Saccharomyces cerevisiae S288C: one gene and its partner. The gene in region 2 interacts genetically with the main gene of each other region. Each region holds a gene or a part of one and is shown on either strand. Other genes may lie near its edges.

The links.
Region 1: mutations in APM1 (region 2) and RDS1 together harm fitness more than expected from each alone (negative genetic interaction), as found in Saccharomyces cerevisiae (one large-scale study listed by BioGRID).

What each region holds. Positions count from the first base shown.
Region 1 is NC_001135.5:309,394-313,956, forward strand, and holds RDS1 (Rds1p), read left to right. Parts: upstream 1-1,564; coding exon 1,565-4,063; downstream 4,064-4,563. Other genes in the region: ADH7 (NADP-dependent alcohol dehydrogenase), read left to right, coding at 1-762; AAD3 (putative aryl-alcohol dehydrogenase), read left to right, coding at 4,497-4,563. UniProt on the Saccharomyces cerevisiae protein: Zinc cluster transcription factor involved in resistance to cycloheximide.
Region 2 is NC_001148.4:45,547-54,174, reverse strand, and holds APM1 (Apm1p), read left to right. Parts: upstream 1-1,503; coding exon 1,504-2,931; downstream 2,932-8,628. Other genes in the region: THI21 (bifunctional hydroxymethylpyrimidine kinase/phosphomethylpyrimidine kinase), read left to right, coding at 1-677; CUB1 (Cub1p), read right to left, coding at 3,217-4,872; YPL261C (uncharacterized protein), read left to right, coding at 4,871-5,179; fumarase FUM1, read right to left, coding at 5,373-6,839; KEL3 (Kel3p), read left to right, coding at 7,669-8,628. UniProt on the Saccharomyces cerevisiae protein: Component of the adaptor complexes which link clathrin to receptors in coated vesicles. Clathrin-associated protein complexes are believed to interact with the cytoplasmic tails of membrane proteins, leading to their selection and concentration.

The sequences.
Region 1 (4,563 bases), on a different chromosome or scaffold from region 2:
GACAACGAGCAATACTGTACCAATGACCACGTTTTGACTATGTGGACTCCTTACAAGGACGGCTACATTTCACAAGGAGGCTTTGCCTCCCACGTGAGGCTTCATGAACACTTTGCTATTCAAATACCAGAAAATATTCCAAGTCCGCTAGCCGCTCCATTATTGTGTGGTGGTATTACAGTTTTCTCTCCACTACTAAGAAATGGCTGTGGTCCAGGTAAGAGGGTAGGTATTGTTGGCATCGGTGGTATTGGGCATATGGGGATTCTGTTGGCTAAAGCTATGGGAGCCGAGGTTTATGCGTTTTCGCGAGGCCACTCCAAGCGGGAGGATTCTATGAAACTCGGTGCTGATCACTATATTGCTATGTTGGAGGATAAAGGCTGGACAGAACAATACTCTAACGCTTTGGACCTTCTTGTCGTTTGCTCATCATCTTTGTCGAAAGTTAATTTTGACAGTATCGTTAAGATTATGAAGATTGGAGGCTCCATCGTTTCAATTGCTGCTCCTGAAGTTAATGAAAAGCTTGTTTTAAAACCGTTGGGCCTAATGGGAGTATCAATCTCAAGCAGTGCTATCGGATCTAGGAAGGAAATCGAACAACTATTGAAATTAGTTTCCGAAAAGAATGTCAAAATATGGGTGGAAAAACTTCCGATCAGCGAAGAAGGCGTCAGCCATGCCTTTACAAGGATGGAAAGCGGAGACGTCAAATACAGATTTACTTTGGTCGATTATGATAAGAAATTCCATAAATAGTCTATATACGTAATATTTTTCAGAATCTCTTAAAATGCATGTCAAATCTCGGAATTTATCATGACCCATTACATAACAAGAGAAAAGTGGTTTGCATTGTATGTATACCTTAAACCAATTCTTCGGTAGTCACATGACCTATATATAGGGACATTCATTTCTTGAATAGGATATTTCTTAAACTTAAGGGAAATTTTGATGAAAATTTAGAATCTCTCGACAACAGTGCAGAGCAGTAAGTTTTATTCAATACGAAATGTGTGCAGGGTTTTACCCATTCATGTCGAGTACGTCTACATTTGTTCTGCGATTTAACTTAATACTTAGCCTACTCATATGTATCGAAGCCAAACTATTAAATCTGAAAACTGAATACCCATTAAGTAGGTACATTAATGCAATTTTCGTCCGAAAGGTAGAGTGTTAATCATGCTTTTACTTCGAAATCTAGAGTCCGAGCATGTCTGATGAGGTCCTCTTAAAGCACTTCAATTTTAAAAGAGAAGAGCGCAAATTTTTACAAAGAATGCCTATATTAATATACTGTGCTATCTAAGAGGATGGTTCAATGGTTTGAAATGAGTTGAAAAATAAAGATTTACATAGTAGCGTGTATTCTTCACATTTTTGCATTCGGTAGATTTTCTACTCAAGACCCGTGCAGATCACTATTACACTCATTATTACAAGTCATTGAGAACGAAATTTTGACATCATTACTAATAATGTTACTCATTAATACTTTATTAATGTAAGCGGTAGATAAACAAATGAACATGAAATTGGCTGCTGAAATGCTCTGATGGATTCGATTACAGTAAAAAAACCTCGGTTAAGATTGGTTTGCCTGCAATGCAAAAAGATCAAACGGAAATGTGATAAACTGCGGCCTGCTTGCTCGCGATGCCAACAAAATTCATTACAGTGTGAATATGAAGAGAGAACAGATTTATCTGCCAATGTTGCAGCAAACGACTCTGATGGATTCAATTCCTCTCATAAGCTCAATTTCGAACAGCAACCTGTACTTGAAAGGACTGGGCTTAGATATTCCTTACAAGTGCCTGAAGGTGTCGTTAATGCTACGCTGTCGATATGGAACGCCGAAGATATGCTAGTTATAGTAGGATTAGTTACATTTCTGGATTATCCTTTTGCTGCGCATAGTCTGGCGCAACATGACCAGTATATCAGGGCACTTTGTGCTTCGTTGTACGGCATGGCGCTTGTTGACTTTAGCAATTATGCTAATGGTATTCCTTGTGAAGACACATCAAGAAGTATACTAGGACCATTGTCATTCATAGAAAAGGCCATTTTTAGACGGATAGAACATAGTAAGCAATTTCGAGTTCAGTCTGCCGCCTTAGGGTTATTATACAATGCATTTTCAATGGAAGAAGAAAACTTCTCGACTCTTCTACCGTCACTCATCGCTGAAGTGGAAGACGTGTTGATGCAAAAAAAAGACTGTGAAATACTTTTGAGGTGTTTCTATCAAAATATTTATCCCTTCTATCCTTTTATGGACATTTCACTCTTTGAGAGCGATCTCACTAGTTTGCTTTTACAAGACGACAATAATCGTTGGAAAATTAGTACTGAAGTTAAAAATGTGCGCAAAAAAATAGAAACTTTGTCATTACTTACAATAGTAATGGCCATGGCCTTGATGCATTCAAAATTGGATGCAAATCTTCTTTCAATGGTAAAAGAAAATGCCTCCGAAAGTGCCAGGAAACTTTCTCTTTTATGTCATAAACTATTATGCCTCCTGGATGTATTTCGCTATCCAAATGAGAACACTTTTACTTGCCTTTTATATTTCTACGTTTCAGAGCATTTAGATCCCGAGAGTCCCGATTGTGTACTGAGCCCCACTAACTTGCTTACTCTGCACCATCTTTTAAATTTGTCCATGACCTTAGGTCTTCAATATGAGCCTTCGAAGTACAAACGTTTCAAAGATCCAGAAGTGATAAGGCAGAGACGGATATTATGGTTAGGAGTTCAGTCATTACTTTTTCAAATTTCTCTTGCTGAAGGTGATGCTGGTAAATCAAATAGTGAATATATGGAGGCATATTTAACAGACTTCGAAGAATATATTGAAGCTTCCTCAGAGTATGAAAAAAGTTCTGCGAGTGAATCGAACGTGCAAATGAATGATATTGTTTGGAATAAGTACAAATTTCACGTCATTTTGAGTAAACTAATGTCTGATTGCACTTCAGTTATACAACATCCGCAGCTTTTCCACATTTTAGGAAATATTAAAAGATCTGAAGATTTTATGGCTGAGAACTTTCCTACAAGTTCGATTTACCAACCCCTTCATGAAAAGGAACCAAATGCGATCAAAGTTGGCAAAAGTACGGTTCTCGATGTCATGGATATTCAAAAAACTGAAATATTTCTTACAAATATTGTGGGAAGTATGTGTTTTTTAAACATTTTTGATGTCCTATCGTTACATTTTGAAAAAAAATGTGTTATGCACTGGGAAGAATATGAAAAGAACTATCATTTCCTTACTTTGAAAAGTTTCAATGCATACTTAAAGCTAGCAGGGTTGATATCTGATTATCTCGAGAATAAGTTTCAAGGGAACATTTTAGAGAGTCGCGGTTATATCATAGATAAACAAATATGTTTTATGCTTGTAAGGATCTGGATGTTCCAATGTCGTATTTTGTTAAGGTTTTCATACAAGCAAGAAAGTCAGAAAAAATTGGCCTCTTCCAGTATATCCACTAACGATAATGAAAAAGAAGATGAAATGATTGTCATTTTAGAAAGACTTATTAAACACATTCGTAACCAAATGGCACATTTAGTGGATCTAGCAAAGGGAAAACTTCAAGATAGTTACTTTGGTGCTTACCAAACTGTTCCCATGTTTAGATACGTTGTGTATTTGATCGATGTTGGCGGCTTAGTATCTGTGACAAATGGGTTTTGGGATAAGATTTCCAGTGATGGTGAAATACCGCCAAAAGTACAACAAGCCGTGAGATTGAAATGGGGATTGGACTGCAATAATTCGAGAAGAATCAAACAAAAGTTAATAAGCAGCCAGAGTTTGCAGAGTTTCAATCAAGTTCTGTTGTGCCAGATGGAGGATGCAGTTCTCTCCAGTTCCTTCGCAATAAAAGCCAATACCGCTATGTCCCAAAACACGGCTGAAGAATTTTTCAATATCAGCGAAGAAGAGGCTTTAAATCAACTATTGGAAAACAACAATTTTGATGCCTTCTGGGATTTATTAGGTGAAAATCTGAGCGATATGCCTTCTTTGTGAGAATACGGATATTTGGAAAGGCTAAAAAAAAAAAAACAAGCCAAAAACAAGAAACACTGTTATCCTCCACGTTTTTTCCACTGTTTTAAGACTCGACAAGACGGAAAGATTCCTCACATTTCGCAGTGTTTCTTTTAACCTGCTCGTCAATTTGAAAAAATGAGCATGGTTAGGCAGGCGGAATGTAATAGGTGCGGTGCGTATAAATAAGTATCTCGGCCGTTCCTCTATTGCGCTCGGCCGAGATGTCCTACATGCATAAAATAGATTAAAAAAAGGGATCACGATACTCAAATATGCATATAATAACAACAACACACTTTGCGGTAAATAGAAGGATAATATCGTAATCTTTTGCTGGTTTCGATGATGACTTGAAAAAATTCAATTACTCTTTCGATCATCTAGAAGAAGCATATCCATCGTGCTTAAAATGATTGGGTCCGCGTCCGACTCATCTAGCAAGTTAGGACGCCTCCGATTTCTTTCTGAAACTGCCG
Region 2 (8,628 bases):
AAATCCCTGGAGGAAGTTTCTATAAATATCTGATAAATCACCCTAAAGTTAAGCCCCACTGGGACTCCTATGTGAACCATGATTTTGTTAGAAAAGTAGCAGACGGTTCCTTAGAGCCTAAGAAGTTCCAATTTTTTATCGAACAAGATTACCTGTACTTAGTCAATTATGCCAGGATTTCCTGCATCGCGGGTAGTAAATCCCCGTGTCTTGAAGACCTGGAGAAAGAGCTAGTTATTGTCGAATGCGTTCGTAATGGGCTTTGCCAACATGAAAGGAGATTAAGGGAGGAATTTGGAATTAAGGATCCCGACTACTTACAAAAGATTCAAAGAGGTCCTGCATTAAGGGCTTACTGTCGTTACTTTAATGATGTTTCCAGAAGAGGTAACTGGCAGGAGTTAGTTATAGCTCTTAATCCTTGCTTAATGGGCTATGTTCACGCTTTGACCAAGATCAAGGATGAAGTAACTGCAGCAGAAGGCTCCGTTTACCGTGAATGGTGTGAAACTTACTCATCGTCATGGTGCCACGAAGCTATGCTTGAAGGCGAAAAGCTGTTGAATCACATCTTGGAAACATACCCTCCAGAAAAACTTGATACACTGGTCACAATATATGCTGAAGTTTGTGAATTGGAAGCTAACTTCTGGACCGCCGCTCTAGAATATGAATGAATAGACACATCGATTTTTACAAAATATACAAAAAGTTATACGTAGAAATAATGAATTATGCAAAAATAGGTGTCAATAATTTAAGAATGTTCCTTCATTTTTATTAATATAGTAAAAATTGTTCGGCAGAAACCAAAATCTTCGTTCTGATTTTGGCGTTCTAGCGGCGCTACCATCCTAGTCACATACCTCAAGTATTCACCATAATTTCGTTGATAACTTATCCGGCAGAAACTTTCTCATCTTTCAGAAACCTAACACTGCAGTTGGACATTCTCGTAACATTAGCTGACAGAACTACGACAGACAGTTGCGACATAAAAAAAAAAGAATCACAACTGAACGCATCTTAGGGAAACAGTTAATGTTGGCACTGATGATTATTTGAATAGTGCGTCTTTATATATATATATTTTCTTCAAGGTATTCCTCCATCTGAAAATAATTGAGCATTCGACCCAATATAAACGTTTTCTATGCGCTAAAATTACTGCATACTATCAATAGGACTGCTATGGATCTATAATAGTTATGTAATAAAGATGAAGATATTTCAATGGTATAAAATACGCTCGATATACTATAGCCATCATTAGACGTAACTTCAACTAAGCGAGAAAGGGTATCTCTAATTATGATAATAGTCTTTGAAAGTCGTTGATAGCGATGTTAATTGAACGTATTGAAATATTGCTAGACGATGAAAAATTAAGAGTTAAACGGAAAGTGGGCTGAACAAAAAAAAGCATATAGAGAAACTAAGTCGTACAATTAAATATAGGAGTATTTTTGAAAATTGTAAATTACGAACTTGGAGGGACACAGAATGGCTTCTGCAGTGTATTTTTGCGATCATAATGGGAAACCACTCCTATCAAGAAGGTATAGAGATGATATTCCGCTTTCTGCAATTGACAAATTCCCTATATTACTCTCGGATTTAGAGGAACAATCAAATCTGATTCCTCCATGTTTGAACCACAATGGTCTGGAATATCTATTTATACAGCATAACGATCTATACGTGGTGGCAATTGTGACTTCTCTTAGTGCCAATGCGGCTGCCATTTTTACTTTTTTGCACAAATTAGTGGAGGTATTAAGTGACTACTTAAAAACCGTTGAAGAAGAATCTATTAGAGATAATTTTGTTATAATATATGAATTACTGGACGAAGTGATGGATTATGGTATACCACAGATCACAGAAACTAAGATGCTGAAACAGTACATAACACAAAAATCCTTCAAACTAGTTAAATCCGCCAAGAAGAAGAGGAATGCTACTAGACCACCCGTCGCACTAACAAATTCAGTCAGTTGGAGGCCAGAAGGCATCACTCACAAGAAAAATGAAGCCTTTCTGGATATCGTCGAATCTATTAATATGCTCATGACTCAAAAAGGTCAAGTTTTGAGATCAGAAATTATCGGCGATGTTAAGGTTAACTCAAAATTGTCTGGTATGCCTGATCTGAAATTAGGTATTAATGATAAAGGCATTTTCTCCAAATATTTGGATGATGATACAAATATCCCATCAGCGAGCGCGACAACATCCGATAATAACACAGAAACTGATAAAAAACCATCAATAACATCATCATCGGCCACAAACAAGAAGAAAGTTAATATTGAATTGGAAGATTTGAAATTTCATCAATGTGTCCGATTAAGCAAATTCGAGAATGAAAAAATTATAACGTTTATACCTCCTGATGGAAAGTTCGATTTAATGAACTACAGACTATCTACTACGATAAAACCGTTAATTTGGTGTGATGTAAACGTTCAAGTTCATTCGAATTCTAGAATTGAAATTCACTGTAAGGCCAAGGCCCAAATTAAAAGAAAATCTACTGCAACTAATGTAGAGATATTGATACCGGTCCCGGACGACGCGGATACACCGACTTTTAAATATTCACACGGGTCTCTAAAGTATGTCCCTGAAAAAAGTGCAATCTTATGGAAAATAAGAAGTTTTCCCGGTGGTAAAGAGTACTCAATGTCTGCCGAATTGGGACTGCCTTCAATATCAAATAACGAGGATGGCAATAGAACAATGCCAAAAAGTAACGCGGAAATCTTGAAGGGACCTGTCCAAATCAAATTTCAAATACCCTACTTTACTACTTCAGGTATTCAAGTACGTTATCTTAAAATTAACGAACCCAAATTGCAGTATAAGAGTTACCCATGGGTAAGATATATCACGCAAAGTGGTGATGATTATACAATAAGGCTGACGTAATGTCTGAAAAATATATAAAAAAAGCAATTTCTACGGTGCATGGACAAAGACACAGGGTACGTATGTCCTTATTCCTCTTTTTCTCCCCCCTCCCATTGACAATTATGATAATGACATAAAGTTGTTTATATATTTTTGTTTTTATATAGATGCTCATTCAGGGTTTGTTATATACATAGACATAAGAGAATAACTTTTTTTCTTTCTGTATTTCATTTTATTGTTTATAATGTTTTCCTCTACCAAGAAAATAGGGAGAAATGGAAGATAAAGAAACACTCTCCTCTATTCCTGTTGATATTCAGATTCAGGCTCGCTGTCGTTTGAGTTCGAGTCTATGCCTGATTCTCCGTTGTCATCGTCGTCAGAACCATCACTTGAAGTAGAGTTCTGTGCTTTTTCCTCGGCTTCCACTTTTAATTCATGCAAGATATCAAAACATTCTGCTAATAAAGCATTCAATATACCTTGGCCTTCAGGTATATTGCCATCAGAGTCATAGAATATACCTTCAGTTCTCAGGTTGTCCAATGAAGCCAATTTCATTTGATAAGGGTATAACTCTCTTTCATTATTCACACCTCCCATTCTTTTCAATTCTAATAGGCAACGACGAACTGTAGATAGTTGATTGTGAATTGGCTGCAACGCTTCAGATACGGGCTCTGAACTTTCCAACAGTTTATAAATTATGGCATAACATCTACGCAACAGGTATAAAAGTATTGATTGCCCCTTTGAGTCCTGAGATTTTGTTGGAAACTTACCATTGATTCTTTTGTTATCAATTTCGTTCAATTTTTTTTGGTAAGAAAATAAATCGGTTTCTCTCAAAGTCCATCTTCTTGTGATCATTAAATTTTCTAAGGTAGTCTTTATATCAATCAGCTGTTCATATATTGGCTGTAAATATGGATCTAAAGTCAACCCGCCATTTTTTTGGTGTGATAAATCGTTAACTAAATCATGGCAATCATCCAATAAACCATTAAGGACACTTTGGCCTTTTTCTGCCACCTGATGAGACTCCAAGGACTTGAATTTACCAGAATCGTCACGATTAGATTCTAATTCACTTAATTCGTTCTTCAAAACTGATAATTTCTCATGGACATACTCTTGAGATACTAAATGTTTGTCATCCGTTAAGCTTTCATTGTTCGTTTGCAAATCATTTTGTTCCTGCAATAAAGAGTTGGTATTAATATCAGATTTAGACATTGTTTTTTTAGCAGATGCAACTAATGACAATAAACCTCTTCTAATTCGGAATAACTTTTCCATTACAGTAGACAAAGACGGATCAATTTCCTCCAATTTGCCTTCCAATATATCATATTCGTCCTTGCAATGCTTTAATTTAGCACGTAGTAATAGGTCTTCCTCAATTTTATTCTTTTTCCTTTCGTTGTCGATTTCCCTTAATCGGTCATCATTTCCATCCTCATCGTACGCAGGACTAGAGTTTTTTTGTTCGACAATCTTGCTGATTTCTTCCAGCCTTTCCTTAATAGGACTCAAATCGTGATGGGTGAAGACGTTTGATTCATTTAAATGTTCCAAAAGACTCTCCACAGTAGATAACGATGCATAAGTCGCAGGTGCAGAATTTTTTAGCCCAACAGTTAAAAAACACAACGAGAGCAATTGAAAGACATCATCCAGTACGGAGTCAACTCTATTATGCAATTCAGTACTATGAATCAGGGTGGCGGCGCTCTTAGCGGGCGTCTCATGACTATTCTTCCTAATATCGTCCAACTCTCTGACTTTGGTCAAGACGTGTTGGTAAGTAGTTTGGACATCCTTAGAGTTCAAATACTGGGTCCTATTTTGCTTGAGTTTAGCCAAGGAGGATCTCACTTCAAGGAGGTAGTTTAATATGGATTCCTCTTCCTTAGGAACAATTTGAGGGTGTTGTTGTCCAGCGGATGCAAACATGCTCTTTTTAGACAGTTATTCTCTTCTAATACAATTTCAGCGTTTTAAAAATTGGGAAAGTCCTCGAAGATTTAGTAGTTCTTTTCCTTTGCTTTTGTTTGTTTTTAAACCGATATTTGCTGCTAAACTTCTTAAAGAGATTTGCTCTTCTGGTGTACTCTCTTATTCGTTATCATTTCTGAAAATTCCCCTTTCCGTGATGCGGGTAATACTAGGTCCCTTACCCGACGACAAGAAATTAAAAAATGACGCAAAATATTCATTTATGAACTATTTTATTATAACTTGTATAGGAATAATAATGTAGTGATGTAAATTTATGGGCCCCATTAAGCCATCAAAAATGGAATGTATGCCTATGCTCCTCTTCTGACATAACTGGCCAGAGGCGGGACCTTAGCGGAGGGACCATTGCTGAATCACAAATTCTCTCCACTTCCTTATTTTCCTTCATATAATAAGACATAAAAAACTTGTATATTATTAGGTATTTAGCTCGTTTATTTAGGACCTAGCATGTGTTCAGGAACAACCCATTCATCAAATTCCTTTTCAGTCAATACACCCAATTCCAATGCACTTTCCTTCAAGGTAATGCCCTTCTTATGAGCATTCTTGGCGACCTTGGAAGCGGCATCATAACCGATCTTAGGGTTCAAAGCGGTGACTAACATTAAAGATTTAGTCAACAACTCATGAATACGAGGCTCATTGGCTTTGATACCTTCAACACAGTGCACTCTAAATGAATATGCGGCATCAGTAATTAACCTGATCGAATTCAATAGATTGGCGATCATGACTGGCTTGAAGACATTTAACTCGAATTGACCTTGAGAGCCGGCAAACGTGATAGCTGCATTGTTACCCATGACTTGCACACACACTTGAGTCAATGCCTCGTTTTGGGTTGGGTTAACTTTACCAGGCATGATTGAGGAACCTGGTTCATTCTCTGGCAGCATTAGTTCATGGTAGCCGCAACGTGGCCCGGACCCTAAGTATCTTATATCTTGCGCTATTTTGAAAAGAGAACAAGCAAGGGTGTTTAGAGCACCGCTACATTCGACAATGGCGTCGTGAGCAGCCAAAGCCTCGAACTTATTAGGGGCGGTTTGAAACTTTAGTCCAGTTTCTTTGGAAATTTGCTCGGCTATCTTGACATCGAATCCGGGCTTGGTGTTCAACCCTGTACCAACGGCAGTACCACCTTGTGCCAGGAAACTCAATGTTTTCAAAGAATGTGCCACTCTTTGGATACCGTTCTCAACTTGTTGCACGTAACCGGAAAACTCTTGACCTAGTGTCAAAGGCGTGGCATCTTGCAAGTGTGTTCTACCGATCTTCACAATATGGTCAAATTCCTTGGATTTGGCTTCAAGGGCGTTCTTTAAATTGGTCAACTCAGGTATCAACTCGTTTTGAATTTGCAAACTGGCAGCGATATGCATGACAGTGGGGAAAGTATCATTGGATGATTGAGATTGGTTGCAATGATTGTTTGGATGGACTTGTTTAGATCCAATCTTGCCTCCTAGGATCTCAATGGCACGATTGGAAATAACTTCATTAGCATTCATGTTAGACTGGGTACCGGAACCCGTTTGGAAAACAACCAATGGAAAGTGGTCGTCTAGCTTACCAGAAGCCACTTCGTCAGCGGCCTGTTGAATAGCCTTGGAGATCTTGGGATCCAATCCCCCCAGAGACTCATTCACAATCGCGGCAGATTTCTTCAAAACACCAAATGCATGCACCAAAGGCAATGGCATTCTTTCACGAGCGCCACCAATCTTGAAGTTTTGAAAGGATCTTTGAGTTTGGGCACCCCAGTACTTATCAGCAGGCACGTGTATCTCACCAAATGCATCGGTTTCAGTTCTGAACGAGGAGTTCATTCTTCTTATATTAAGCTTATATGACGATTTTACGAAAGTCTTGCAACTACAATTGGTAAATCTCAACATGATTGTATCTCTTATCCGTTTAATAGTTAGACTTTATGGAATTTCTTGACGTGAGAAAAAAAACAGCTGCAGTACTAAAAGTCACGAATTTAAAAATGCAAAAAAATGACTGTATGTAATGGAGAAACGATATGAATATCCCAGAAGAAAGAGCTAGAGTCACTCCCCCGTGTGTTCGGTCCGGCCTCCTGTTGGATGCTTGTTTAACGTCTACAACAGTGATGAAGATTATATATAGCCTATAAGAAACGCAAAAAGGCTTTACAGGAAAGAGCCAATCATCGAACGCCCATTCCGGGAATCGGGGTAGTCATTCCGAGGATCGGCTCAGGGGAGGGGCCTGAAGCCTCTCCAATATGGTAGTGATAGCAAGAACTAGAGACATTTACTGCTAGCTTCCATAGCTCTCTAACCACAGGGTACGAATAATAACCATTATTAGGTACTGACATTATGATGTCGCCCGCGGCGATTCGGAAGGGTTTAAGGACACGTCTTAACAAATGGCATTACAGAATGGCTATAGGCGACTCACTACTATGTATTGACTATGTAGGAGATACCAAGCTTTGCTTTACGAGCCCTCTTTACTTTTTTTCTTGTATAGTTATAGTTAATGTAGTAGTCGCAATAACTGCGGTAGTAGTACTAACATCAGTAAAAGTAACGCTTGGTAGTTTTTCTGCCCGGTTTAACCATTGATTTGATGAAATTGTAGAAAACTGAAAAAAAAAAAAAAAATGAAAAAAAAAAATGATGAGCTTCTCGAAGAATACATTAACCACTTATAGGAAGGAGAAGAGATCTACTAGACTCGTAGAAGTGATTAATGGCAAAGAAGAATAAGAAGGATAAAGAGGCCAAAAAGGCACGTGCTGAACTGAAGAATCAGAAAAACCAAAAAAAGCAGGAGAAAAAGTTTCAGAAGAACAAGAATAAGTCTTTAAACGGCGAAGAAGATGATGAAAGTGATCAAGATCTCGATGAAATTCTCTCTAGCTTTAGCAAAAAGCAAATTGAATTAGAGCATGTAGACATCACTTCTGTGGAAAAACCCTCTTGTCGTACTCATCCGTTGATGTTTGCAAATCCGCAACACAATAAACATGAATTGTTCATTTTCGGTGGTGAATTTACAGATCCAGAAACCAAACTAACACATTTCTATAATGATTTGTATTCATACTCCATAAAGAACAACTCTTGGAAAAAATACGTTTCGCAAAATGCACCTTTGCCCAGATCCAGTGCCGCTGTCGCTGTGCATCCTTCCGGAATAGCACTGTTACACGGTGGTGAATTTTCGTCCCCAAAACAATCTAAATTCTACCACTATTCTGATACATGGCTGTTTGACTGCGTTGAAAGGAAATTCACTAAGTTGGAGTTTGGCGGTAGAGACTCTTCACCCAGCGCCAGATCAGGTCATAGAATTATTGCTTGGAAAAACTATTTCATATTATTTGGTGGATTTAGAGATTTGGGGAATGGTCAAACTTCTTACCTAAATGATTTGTGGTGTTTTGATATCTCAACCTACAAATGGACCAAATTGGAGACAAACAGCAAACCTGACGCTAGATCGGGTCATTGTTTCATTCCTACAGATAATTCTGCCATATTAATGGGTGGTTACTGTAAAATCATTGCCAAAAATAATAAAAATTTAATGAAGGGAAAAATCTTGAATGATGCATGGAAACTGAACTTAACGCCTGATCCAAAGAAGTGGCAGTGGGAAAAATTAAAGAATTTCAAGAACCAGCCCTCACCAAGAGTCGGGTATTCG